Linked DNA regions of Ovis aries. The protein of the gene in region 1 binds, or shares a complex with, the protein of each later gene. Links are inferred from orthologs where the notes say so. Each region holds a gene or a part of one and is shown in the gene's direction. Other genes may lie near its edges. The genes, in order: TFDP2, LIN52 and LIN54.

Region 1 (4,363 bases):
GGTGGTTTACAATCCAGCTCTCCTGCTAGACTGAGCTCTTTGAGGATGGAGGTTTCATCTGTTTTGCTTATTTTTGTATCTTTGTCCCTAGAGTGTTTGAAAAGTATTTAAGTTGAAATCTCAACAAAATTTCTGTGGAAACTACATCTATTGATCCATTACTGAAAAATGCAAGGTAATGACTCCTTTGGGGCTTTTGCATTTTAGAATCAGTTCAAGGAGACTTCATTGGGCTTTCTTGACCGCCTAGGACTTTATCTATGTACAATTATGCAGAAATTATCTCACCACCGCTCCACCCCAGAGAAAGGTCCAAAGGTGCATTCTCACCTCCCCCACTTCCTTTAGGTATTTATTTAAATGGCACTTTCCTGCTACCTTGACTGAGCACTCTAAGACAGGCCATCCCTTAAAGCCATTCCTGGTCTACTAGATTTGTTCTCCACAGCGTGTCGCAACATGTAACATAGCTTATATTTTGCTTATTTCTTTTGCCTATTATCTTTACCACCCCACTAAAATGTAAGTGAAGTGAAATGAAAGTCGCTCAGTCTCGTCTGCCTCTTTGCCACCCCATCGGTTACACAGTCCGTGGAGTTCTCCAGGCTAGAATACTGGAGTGGGTAGCCTTTCCCTTCGCCAGAGGATCTTCCCAACCCAGGGATTGAACCCAGGTCTCCCGCGGTGGAGGCGGATTCTTTACTAACCGAGCCACAGGGGAAGCCCACTAAAATGTAAACTCACACATGATTTTTCAGATAGGCACAGAATGTATTATTAACATTGAACTAAATAGACAGGTATTTGAGGGTGGGAGCTGCAATTTTCTTTTCAGCGTCCATGTGACATGATGACCTGGTCAGGTTTGGATCTTACTTGCCGGGTTGTTGAAAATCTCACACCCTAGCAGTCTTTAACCCACTGTCTGAATAATTTACAGGGTACTGCAAACTTGGCCCCACACGTGGCCTCATCACTCGTCCCCTTGCCCCTCTAGGCTGCTCCCCCAGAGGTGACTGATCAAATGACTGGGAACCGAGATGTGCCTGGGAACTAGGGACGCCCGTTTTCCTTTTTCTAAGAAAGATCGGGGTTTTCTTGCAAGGGGCCGGGGGGATGGGGGCGGATGGAAAAGTCAAGATTCCCACCCAGGCCGGGGGAAGGGGGAGAGGGTGTGGCTATAATTTTAGGCCTCAGGCCTGTAGCCTGCTCCGGAGGCGGCTGGGAAGCACGCGGCAGGACCGTTGTAGGCGATCCACTGAGAACCTCCAGTGGATTATCCGGGTACCCCGCAGAGTGCTTGAGACCCCGCTCCTCCACCTCGGGGGCCCCCTCCTCTCTTTGGGAAGCCTGGAGGCGGGGTTTGTTTACTCCGTGCACGCACCGCCAGCCTGGCCAATCCGTGAGGAGAGGCGCCGTACGTCATTCACCCAGAGGGCCAATCGGCGCTCACCGTGCTGCTCCGCCGCCAAAGCTTGCGCGGGGGAAGCGGGGCCGCGGCTAGGCCGGGCGAGGGCGGACGGAGCCGCCGAAGATTTCAGCTGCAGCCGCTGCCGCTGCTCGGTTCTCGAGGCGCGCCCTAACCCTTCCTCCTTGGGCAGGCTCGAAGGCGCGCGCGCGCGGTCGGCGTCCCGGGGCTTAGAACTCCAGGGCCTCTACTAGGCAGGCCGCGGATCGCCCACCCTTCCCCGAGTGTGAGTCCGCCTGGGACCCGGGCGCCGCCAAGCGCGGGCGCCACTGTAGCAGAGGGGCCTGAAGACGCGCTCCAAGCTCGAAGAACAGTCCTGCGCGGCCGCCTTGTCCCCTGCAGCCAAGCGGTGGTAAGGTCCAGGGCGCGGGCGCGGGCTCCGTGCGGCGGGCCTCTGTACCCGGCCCGGCGTGTTCTTGGGCAGGTTTCCCTCCCTGCCCCTCCGGGCCCCCTGGTCACTCTGGGTCCCATCTGTTTATTCCCACGCAATCTTCCAGGCCCGGCCGAGTAACCCTTGAGTGCCTGGGGAAGGGAGTGGGAAACCCGAGACTACCCCCCACCCCCAACACACAGCAAATTGCGGGGAGGCACTGTCCTTGAGTCACGCCTGCTGGAAGAGAGGAAGGGCTGCTTTCTACTTTTTCGGTATCTTTAGGGCAGAAGAATGGCTTCTAAGTCTGACTTTTCCGACTTCTCCTTTCATGACCCACATGCCTCCATCTGTCTCTACCAGGTGTATTTCAGAGTTCCAAAGCCTCGTGCGCTTGGAAGAGCCTTGCAACCTCCACAGGGGAACTTTCCTCTAAAGTAGGGGATCACTTTTGGGCCCAGACTCTGAGAAATTCCATAGATTTAAGGTTCCTTTCCATAGAAAAGTGTAAGATTTTTGTAGGATCTCGCAGGGAGAAGTGCAGCTAAGATGAACTCCCAGTCTCTGGTACCAGCTTGTGTTCCCGGGCGTTGTGTGGTTCAGTTTCTTCATCTGTAATAGTAACCCTCTATTGGGGGTGGTGCCAGGAGGAAATGGAGTAATTGGTGGAACTATTTGGAACGAAGTTCGCGTCCTACGAAGTGCCCTGCCCTGCATGAGTTAGGCATTGAATTGACCACCCTGAATGATGGTTTAGAAAAGTTCCCCCTATTGTTTTTGTTTTTTCCTGTTGAGACAGTTTCATCCCTTTCCGTATTCACTGCTAAAGCTCCCTTTGAGCCTTTGAATTCTTTTTCTTCCTCATTTTGTCTCAGAGGGCTCAGACTCCCTGTCCCACTTCTTTGCTCTCTTTTTAGTAAGTCAGTAGCTCATTCCCTTCCTTCCCCTTTCTCTCCCAAATCTTTGTGTGTTTTTTCCACTTGAGTTCTATAGCCTGATTTTTTTTTCTGGGCCACTTTTCTCATAATGGCTTGAAATCATCTTTACCTAATAGATACAGTTTAGGTTATTCATCTGTTCTTTATGCAGTGTAATCATGAGCCTACTGTACAAAATTAAATAGAAACTAATTTAGTTGATCTGTTATTGCATGTTGCTTTTCCATTTCATTGGTTGGCCTGCCATTTAGCTAAAGTTTTATCGCTATCCTGTTACTGTAATAAATCTTTAATGGCCGCGGCCATTCTTAAGTAGCACTGGGAGAAAAATCAAATGTCTAGACCCCAGATTCTATCACACTTGTGCGCTGGCGCTTGCTGCATGTTATTTATTAGAACATCTTGTGCCTGGAACTAGAGCCTAGTCTCATGGCAGACATGGTGTCTGTAGCCCTGTCCTGGCAGTACAGTTGCAGTTTCAGCAGTATGGTGCTTATATTTAATAAAGGCCCAAGACTTACTAAACTCTTGTTTTTGAGTTCTCATTATGTGTGGTTGGTTAATTAGGAGAGAAAACAGAATTTTCAAGTGTGTCATACTTAATGTTACCATTTTGTGATCATGTACCTTTCCCACCAACTCTTGGCAATGGTGACGGCCAGCTGGCACTTTCAAGTTTTTTTCCTTGCAGCCAAAATTCTTAACTGTCTGAGCTATGTCCTCTCAATGCAGCTTGAAATTGGATGTACAGATCGATTTATCCTTAATGTGGAAAGTGTTTGTGGATGAAAATTATTCACTGAAACACAACCTGAAGGATTCAAAGAGTAGAGTATGGTAAAAAACAGATTAAGCCCAAATTAAGTTCATGGCATAGGTTAGAACCTGGTATTCTAACTTCTAGTCCTTTGTTTTCTTAGTTTGTCAACCTTAACAGTTAACTGGCACTGAAAGATGAAAAGATTAAGGCTTGAAAGTAGAAGGAGGCACTTTGTAATTTGGGCATTAAATATTAGATATGAGTAGTACCTTAGTATCTTATTTTTTTATCTTTAAACTTAGGTATGTTTCTTTTAAAGATTAAGTAATAAGCCATTATTACTGATAGATCTTGTAGTCAGTTTACATTGTCTCTTGGCAAACGATTTCACTTTTTTTCTGAACTCAGCACCATATTTTAAGCTCTTATTGCAATGTATCTTAGAAGAAACTAGAAAGCATAGAGTTCAGAGTTTTGAATCATAGAATTTGAAGTTGTGATGAATTTTCTAGATTAAATATATTTACCTCTTATACTTGAATTCTTTCCATTTTAATCTGGGGTATATGATTCTAGGGATAGGACATAAATAGATTTAAAAGTAGATTTGTAAGCCCTTGAAAACTTTATACAAAATTATATGTATTTGGATATTTTCTGGAGAGAAGGTTCATAGGTTCTGAGGTAAAGATATTTGGACAACTTTAACTTCTAAGAAATGATTTCTTTTATTGAACTTAAAGTTCTCTCTTCACTGGTTCTAGTTCTGTCTCTTCTGTGAGTTTTCAAATATTCAAAGACACTTCCTATGTTTTCCTGATTCTTTT
Region 2 (3,646 bases), on another chromosome or scaffold:
TGACCACTTTCCTCTAATTACCCCCCTCGTTACCCCCACTTCTCATAACCATGAGTATGATCTCTTTTTCTGTGAGTTTGCCTGTTTGCTTATTTTAGATTGCACTCATAAGTGAGGTTGTATTTTATTTGTTTTATTTCATTTATCATAATGCCTTCAGCGTCCATATAGGTTGTCACAAATGACAGGATTTCCTCATTTATATATGGCTGAATAATATTCCATTTGTGTGTGTGTGTGTGTGTGTGTGTGTGTGTGTATTTTCAAACTTTATCCATCAGTGAACAGTTAGGTTGTTCCCATGTCTTGGCTATTGTAGATAATCCTGATGTGAACTTGGGAGTTCCTTAGACTATTGGGAGGAAATTTTGGTTAGAAAAAAGGACATGTTGAAAGATTTTATAAATATGTACATTTTCTGGGTTCATAGCTTTTTTTTTCAGATTTTCAAAAATTTGGCTTACCCAGAACATGTTAGGAACCACTGTTTATATCATTAAATTAGCTAATTTATGCAGCTAATTTGTATACTGAGCACAAAGTAATGTACTTAACAAATGTTAACTGTTGTTGTTAATATTAAACACCTTCTGTGTTCCAGGGCAAGAGTGGAAAAGAAATGGTGTCAAAAAATTAGGCAGGGGCTGGGTCATATAGAATTTTATAGGTCACAATAGATATGCATTCATGAATTTAGCTGGGAAGAAGTCTTTTAAGCTGGAGAGTGGCTTGAACTGATTGACATTTAACTTTTTTGGAAAGTAGGTTTGAGAGTAGGGATGGGGAGGGGTAAGAATGGGAGCAGGGAGATGGTAAGAGCCTATTGAAGTGGTACAGGAGAGAAACGATAGTTTCTTGCTTAATTAATGAAATTTCAGAGTGTGGTTTAGATAGAAACTACTGGATTTACGAATAGATTGGTAATGGAAGGATGAAAGAAAGGGAGGCATGAAGGATGACCCCTGGGTTTTTGGATTGAGAACTGGAGTTGATGGTGGTGCTGTTTACTGAGATGGAGAAGATGGGGATTAAAAAGTTTTTCACACATAGAGATGTCACATAGTCACTTAGATATACAATGCTGAAGTTCGGGAAAATATTGGGGCTGGAAAGAGAAATATGGAGTCCTTGGCAAATAAATGGTGGTAAAGGGTATGGGACTAGATGAGATTTCCTTGGGAGACTTTCAGTCGAGAGTGAAGCCAGCCTACGGTGGGCCCTGAGTGGAAGGGGAGACTGAAGGAATCCGTGAGGAAGGGGAAGAACCAGCATAGTGCTTTTGTAGAAGCTGGAGTGTTTGAAGGAGAGTAGTCAGTGATTGGATGCTGCAGAGGGGTCATATAAGAAAGAACAAAGAAGTGACCACTGGGTTTAGCAACACAGGTCATCAGTGACCTCTGTGACAGCTGTTTCCATGCATGTAGGGGTAGAAGCCTGTTTGTGGTAGGCTAAAGAAAGACTGTGAGGTAAGGAAGAGGAGACAACAGGATGGACAGCTAAAAAACTTTTGCTATGAAGTAGTGAGGAAGTCATGGGGTCAAGAGTTTCTTCAAAGAAGGTAAATTCCAGAGCAGACTTACTTGTTGAGTATGAGCCGGTAGAGAGGGTAGAAACTGGTTGTGCAATAGATTATTCACTATGATGTCTTTGACAAAGCAAGAGAAATCCAGTGGAATCCAGAGCCTGAGCAGAGGAGTTTGTTTTTTCTGATAGCAGGGACTTCAGTGACTGGAAGGAGAGTCTGAGTATGAGTAAAGATGGGCTTCCCTGGTGGTTCATGTGGTAAAAAAAATCCTCCTGCAATGTAGGAGACTAGGGTTTGAACCCTGGGTCTGGAAGATTCCCTGGAATAGGGAATGGCAACCCACTCCAGTATTCTTGTCTGGAGAGTTCCTCGGACAGAGGAGCCTGAGGGGGCTACAGTCCATAGCGTCACAAAGAGTCGGACACAACTGAACGACTTAATACACACACAGACACTCACACACACACACACGAGTAAAGATACAGGTGGTTTTGAACATTCATTTTTCCCAACACCCTACTAAAATATTGTTTCCGTTTTTAAAGACGGGGAGAGTAAGGAAATCATTTGTTTGTGTAACATCATGGCACAGTAGCATCAGTAATCATAGAACTCAAATCTCTAGACTTCCAGGTGAGTGAGTGTTCCAGTTTATGTTCTTTGAGATTGATATGTCATAACATGTAAAATAATGTGTTTTGTTCCTTCTTGGCTTATCTGGGTGTTTTGTTCTAGGGGCAGATCTAGAAGCATCTTTGCTAAGTTTTGAAAAACTTGACAGGGCTTCACCAGACCTTTGGCCAGAACAATGTAAGTTTTTGGTTTCTTGATATCAAAATCAATGGGAAAACCAGTGCTACTTTGAGGAACATTTTTGAAGAGTTATCATTTAACTGTAATGATTAAAATTTTATTTCAGAGGAAAAGACTGAATTCTGTGGTCTGGTGGTAAGAATAGCTGTTTAGTAGTTCAGTTCTTTCAGAGCACAGTGTGACTCAGAAAATGATAGAGAACCTTTAAAAAAGAATTATTTATTTATTTATTTTAATTTTTATTTTTACTGTATTTTACTTTACAGTACTGTATTGGTTTTGCCATACATTGACATGAATCTACCACCGGTGTACATGAGTTCCCAAACATGAACCCCCCTCCCACCTCCCACTCAAAAGAATTATTTTTAAAAGCTATATCTGTAATAACTCAGACAGTGTGAAATGTATCAAGTAATTCCTTGCGTCCTTTAAGTGCTGATAAAGTTAACTGCTGTTGTAGTTCAGTACAGAAATTGTGTATTTTTTTTTAATGCTTACACAAGTAAGCAAATAAATATTTTAAAGTATATAGAGTTTTTTTTTGCTTTGTTTTGTTATGCGGTTGTATAGCAGATCAGTCCTGGGTGTTCTTTGGAAGGAATGATGCTAAAGCTGAAACTCTAGTGCTTTGGCCACCTCATGCGAAAATTTGACTCATTGGAAAAGACTCTGATGCTGGGAGGGATTGGGGGCAGGAGGAGAAGGGGACGACAGAGGATGAGATGGCTGGATGGCATCACAGACTCAATGGACATGAGTCTAAGTGAACTCTGGGAGTTGGTGATGGACAGGGAGGCCGGGCGTGCTGCAATTCATGGGTCGCAAAGAGTCAGACACGACTGAGCGACTGAACTAAACTGAACTGAGCTGTATTAGTGATCTACAGCTTAACTTAATTTAATGCCTAGTAATTTATCAGTGGATCTTCCCATGTTGATAGGTATAGATTTACTTCATTTTTAAATTTTATTGTCTAGATTTACTATAGCTTATGAACTCATACCCTATTTGAAAACCTAATAATATACAAGTTTTGATAGTATAAATGATTTCACAATGTATATCTTTGTGCACATGAAAGAGGATGACTGTGTATGGAAGTGCCCATTTCCTTACATAGTAGCCAATATTGAATGATTAATGTTCTGTTTTTTCTTTTTAGTACCAGGTGTTGCTGAATTTGCAGCTTCCTTCAAAAGTGTAAGTAATATCTCACATAATGAAGTTTTTCCAATTTTTTGCTTCTGGGTAAAATCTCAAGTATCTTTTAATTTCTTTATTGTCAAGAATAATGTTATTGCCTTC
Region 3 (4,251 bases), on another chromosome or scaffold:
ATACACACTCTATTTTGTCCTCAGACAGAATAATTATCTTATAATTATCCCATCTTCCTGAGAGGGAAATTGCCCCACAAAGTAGTTAAGCCCAATAGCACTGCTAAATTTCCCAATGATATACTGGATTACATTTACTAGCAGACAAAATACATTACAGCCTACATAAAACAAAGTCAATGTTTCAATGGCCAGGTTAAAACAGGTGTAGCCAGTTAAAATGGATCAACCTGATCTTAGCTGTCAAATGTAAATAGGATCAATTTGAGAAGCACACTTGAAACAGAATGCATGTTAATTACCAAAAAAAAATTTAGTGCTGTGAAATCTACAAAGAGGAAACAGACATCTATCTATCTCCCTGTCTATCTAGATGTAATTAACACTGTTGAATAACTGTCTGCAGGGCAGGCACAAATCACAAATTTAAGTTGGCGTGGACTTAACCCTTCTACATAAATTCCGACAAAATTTCTAATCATGTTTAAAATTCTGCAAACATCACTACTCTAGACATCCTGACCCACGTTGTGGTGACATTCCTCCATGCCCTCCTTCAGAGTTGGTGGCAGGGAGAGAGAGTACCCAAAACACAACCCACAGAAGATGGTTCAAGTAGTTCTGGACGTCATGATAGCGGCCATACCTGAGCAGCCCCCGTCAGCCTCAAGAAGCCATCTCCGCGGAAAACTCTAAACCAAGGTTCCAGAATACAAATGGCCCTCAGTCAAAGAGAAAAAACGGGCGCAGCAAAGGCAAACAGAGGCCAGAATTCGGTGTGAGAGGCCGGCCAGCGAAGGGAAGGGGCGCCAGGGTAGGTTTAGAAGGCCATGGGCGCAGTCGTCCCACAGACCGCGCTTCCAGAATCTTTAGAGAACGGAAAGGATGCCATCAAGGGCTGAAAAAGTTGACAGCCACTCCAGATCTATGGTCCTGAGCGCTCCCTGCACAAGGTCCCCTCCAGTTTTCTGCTGCTCCCAACATCTGCCTCCACGACCGACCTCAGGCCCGCCCCCTTCATCTTCAGGCCCGCTCCTAGCTTCACATCCGAAAGCCGCCGTCAATCCAAGGAGAACAAGTCTCTGGCTTGCCTCTCCACCTCCCAGGCTCCCGGGAAATACTCACTTGCCCGCCAGATCTTTATGAGAGCCGCTCGAATTCATGAGCTGGGCCAAATCCTGTCGCACGGCTGCCGCCATCTTTCTCCCAGCTCGGCGGAGGCTGCGGGGCCTCTCGCGGCCGAAAGAAACCGAGTGTAGTCCTCCAGAGTGCGGCTAGAGGGAACCCGAGATGCCACAGAGTAGCGCCTGTGTAGGCCAGACCGCCGAGCCTGCGTTAGGTCCGCCCCCAAGGTTGATTGACGCGAAGCTCCACTCCTCAAATCCTAGGCCCGCCCGGGCTTCTCTTACAGGCTCGGGCTCACGCGCTCCCACTTCGGATTGGCGGATGAACTCCAAGGGACTGTGTCGCTTGTGCAACCCCAGTAAGTGCCCGATTCGCAAAACTTCGGGGTTTTCGTCAAGTTCCGTATCTCATATATGTAGTTTACCATCCCTTGTTCTTTAAGGCTGCACTTAAACTACCCGTGGTAAAGAACGAGGTTTTTTGTTTGTTTGTTTACAATTCACTACAGACCGGTACTTTTGTAAAGTACAATAAAAAATGTCCCCATTCCGTTCCTACTCTGCGTCTGTATATAGATTGATCATACATCTCAGTTTATCCAGGACAGTGCCATTTTCCATCTGTCGTCCTGGAGTAATTGTTAATAACATGCCCTTTCACTCTGGAAACTGTTCCATTTAGATGACAAATTATATTATAGCCTTACTTTGATACGTAATTGTATTTATGTATTTATATAGGAGTGCAAATTTCTGCAGCCTTGCCTACAAAGGATGTTAAACTTGAATTTCTGCCATTTTATATGTGAAAAAGAACATGTTCCTTATTTGGGGAAGGGGAAAGAAAAGTCCAGAACAAAGAAATCCTTTGAGAAAGTACTGTGGCAATTTGTTGTCGTTGTTCCGTCTCTCAGTCGTGTCCAAAACTTTGTGACCCCATGGACTGCAGCAAGCCAGGCTTTCCTGTCCTTCACTATCAGTTCAGATGTCCCTCCATAGTTAAAAACTTAGTGAGATCTCCATGCCTGGTAACTCTGAGTCTGGATATTTAGTTTCCTTTTGCCTAGGACAAAGGAAAGGATGGTTTTGGAGCGTCAACCAGCAGTCTCCACTACCGTTTGTCCCTCTGATCATAATACAGTATCTGTGTGTATCCTTCCTACAGTAGGATACTCAACCCTAAAGAAGAGAGTTCAAGTTCCCACTCAGTTTCTGTATCAGCTTAAAATCCAGGATGTCTGATAATGTACAACCCTCTCCAAAAGTTTGGATGTAATTGTTCATGGTCCAGACACATATACACTATAGAAGAAATTATCAGCCTCAGGCCCAAACATGTAATACAAAACAATAGAGGAGCAAGGACAGAAGCAATAGGATAACTACAGTTCCAGAAAAGTAAGAGTGTGAAACACAGTAGTTACTTGTCCACAGCAATGGTAGAATCCTGCCCAGGAATTATGAACACCCACTACCGTTGTTATATCTGCATGGTGGTGAGACACCATGGTTAGTACTGCATTTTGAGAGGATAATTGCATTGTTCATTGTATTTGGTGGATCCCAGCTTTGCCTTCTCGGAGAAGGCAATGGCACCCCACTCCAGTACTCTTGCCTGGCAAATCCACTGGACGGAGGAGCCTGGTAGGCAACAGTCCACGAGCAGTCTCTAAGAGTCGGACACGACTGAGCAACTTCACTTTCACTTTTCACTTTCATGCATTGGAGAAGGAAATGGCAACCCACTCCGGTGTTCTTGCCTGGAGAATCCCAGGGACGGGGGAGCCTGGTGGGCTGCCGTCTATGGGGTCGCACAGAGTTGGACACGACTGAAGCAACTTAGCAGCAGCAGCAGCTTTGCCTTCTAAATACAAGTTAACTGGATGTTGGAGGGTATTCCCTCTCTGCTGCTGCTGCTGCTAAATTACTTCAGTCGTGTCCTACTCTGTGTGACCCCAGAGATGGCAGCCCACCAGGCTCCCCCATCCCTGGGATTCTCCAGGCAAGAACACTGGAGTGGGTTGCCATTTCCTTCTCCAATGCATGAAAGTGAAAAGTGAAAGTGAAGTCGCTCAGTCGTGTCCGACTCCCAGTGACCCCATGGACTGCAGCCCACCAGGCTCCTCCGTCCAAGGGATTTGCCAGGCAAGAGTACTGAAGTGGGTTGCCATTGCCTTCTCCATTCCCTCTCTAGAGGAACGCTTTAGGACTTGAACAGTTGAGGGCATTTGTAGTCCCGGTTTTTCAGTGGGATTTTTTTTAACATAACTTTATTGAATATTCAGTAAACTCTGCTTCCTTTACAGACAGTTTCAGGTGCCAATAAACATACTCAAAGTCGTTTTTGAAGTGAGGTGTTAATTGCTCAGTCATGTCCAGCTCTTTGCGATCCCATGGACTGTAGCCCACGGGGCTCCTCTGTCCATGGTATTCTCTAGGCAAGAATACTAGAGTGGGTTGCCATTTCCTCCTCCACGGGATCTTCCCGACTCAGGGACTGAACCCAGGTCTCTTGCATGGTAGGCAAATTCTTTAATGTCTGAGCCACCAAGGGAGCTCCTAAAGGTTTTTTTTAGAAGTAGTCATTAAATCTGCCCTATATCCTGACTTCCATATGCAACCCATTCTTAACATCTTAATGATGATATCCTTGAAATCATCTGAAAGAATAAGCTTAAGTGAGAAGAGAACTCTGTTAATAGTTTGATTTTTGCTTCAGTGTATCTTTCCTTTCTGTTGTTTTTTGTTTATGTGTGTTTGCCAAAAAAAAAATCACATTGGGCTCTGAGAAATCTCTAAGCCAAGTTTTCTCTCCTGTAATTTAGGGTTACACAAGTCGTCAACTTTTTCAACTTAGTGAAGCTCCAGAATTTCCAGACATTCTGTTCTCTATCTACCCTGACTTCAAACTTTACATGTAGTACCTTATGCCTGCTTGCTCAGTTACCCCTGACTCTTTGCGGCCCCATGGGCTGTAGCTCTCCAGGCTCCTCCTTGCCCTGGAATTTTCCAGGCAAGAAATACTGGAGTGGGGTTTCATTTACTACTCTAGGGGATCTTTCTAACCCAGTGATTGAACTTGAATCTCTTGTGTCTCTGGAACTGGCAGGCAGATTCTTTCCCACTA

The links.
Region 2: TFDP2 (region 1) and LIN52 share a complex: the UniProt entries of both Homo sapiens proteins name them as parts of the DREAM complex. The link is inferred for Ovis aries from reciprocal best matches to the Homo sapiens genes TFDP2 and LIN52.
Region 3: TFDP2 (region 1) and LIN54 share a complex: the UniProt entries of both Homo sapiens proteins name them as parts of the DREAM complex. The link is inferred for Ovis aries from reciprocal best matches to the Homo sapiens genes TFDP2 and LIN54.

The regions. Positions count from the first base shown.
Region 1 is NC_056054.1:247,417,128-247,421,490, forward strand, and holds the start of TFDP2 (transcription factor Dp-2), read left to right. Parts: upstream 1-1,470; 5' UTR 1,471-1,820; intron 1,821-4,363. UniProt on the Homo sapiens protein: Can stimulate E2F-dependent transcription.
Region 2 is NC_056060.1:83,527,740-83,531,385, forward strand, and holds part of LIN52 (protein lin-52 homolog), read left to right. Parts: intron 1-2,260; coding exon 2,261-2,335; intron 2,336-3,503; coding exon 3,504-3,541; intron 3,542-3,646.
Region 3 is NC_056059.1:98,538,945-98,543,195, reverse strand, and holds the start of LIN54 (protein lin-54 homolog), read left to right. Parts: upstream 1-1,436; 5' UTR 1,437-1,446; coding exon 1,447-1,483; intron 1,484-4,251. Other genes in the region: COPS4 (COP9 signalosome complex subunit 4), read right to left, coding at 1,126-1,199. UniProt on the Homo sapiens protein: Component of the DREAM complex, a multiprotein complex that can both act as a transcription activator or repressor depending on the context. In G0 phase, the complex binds to more than 800 promoters and is required for repression of E2F target genes.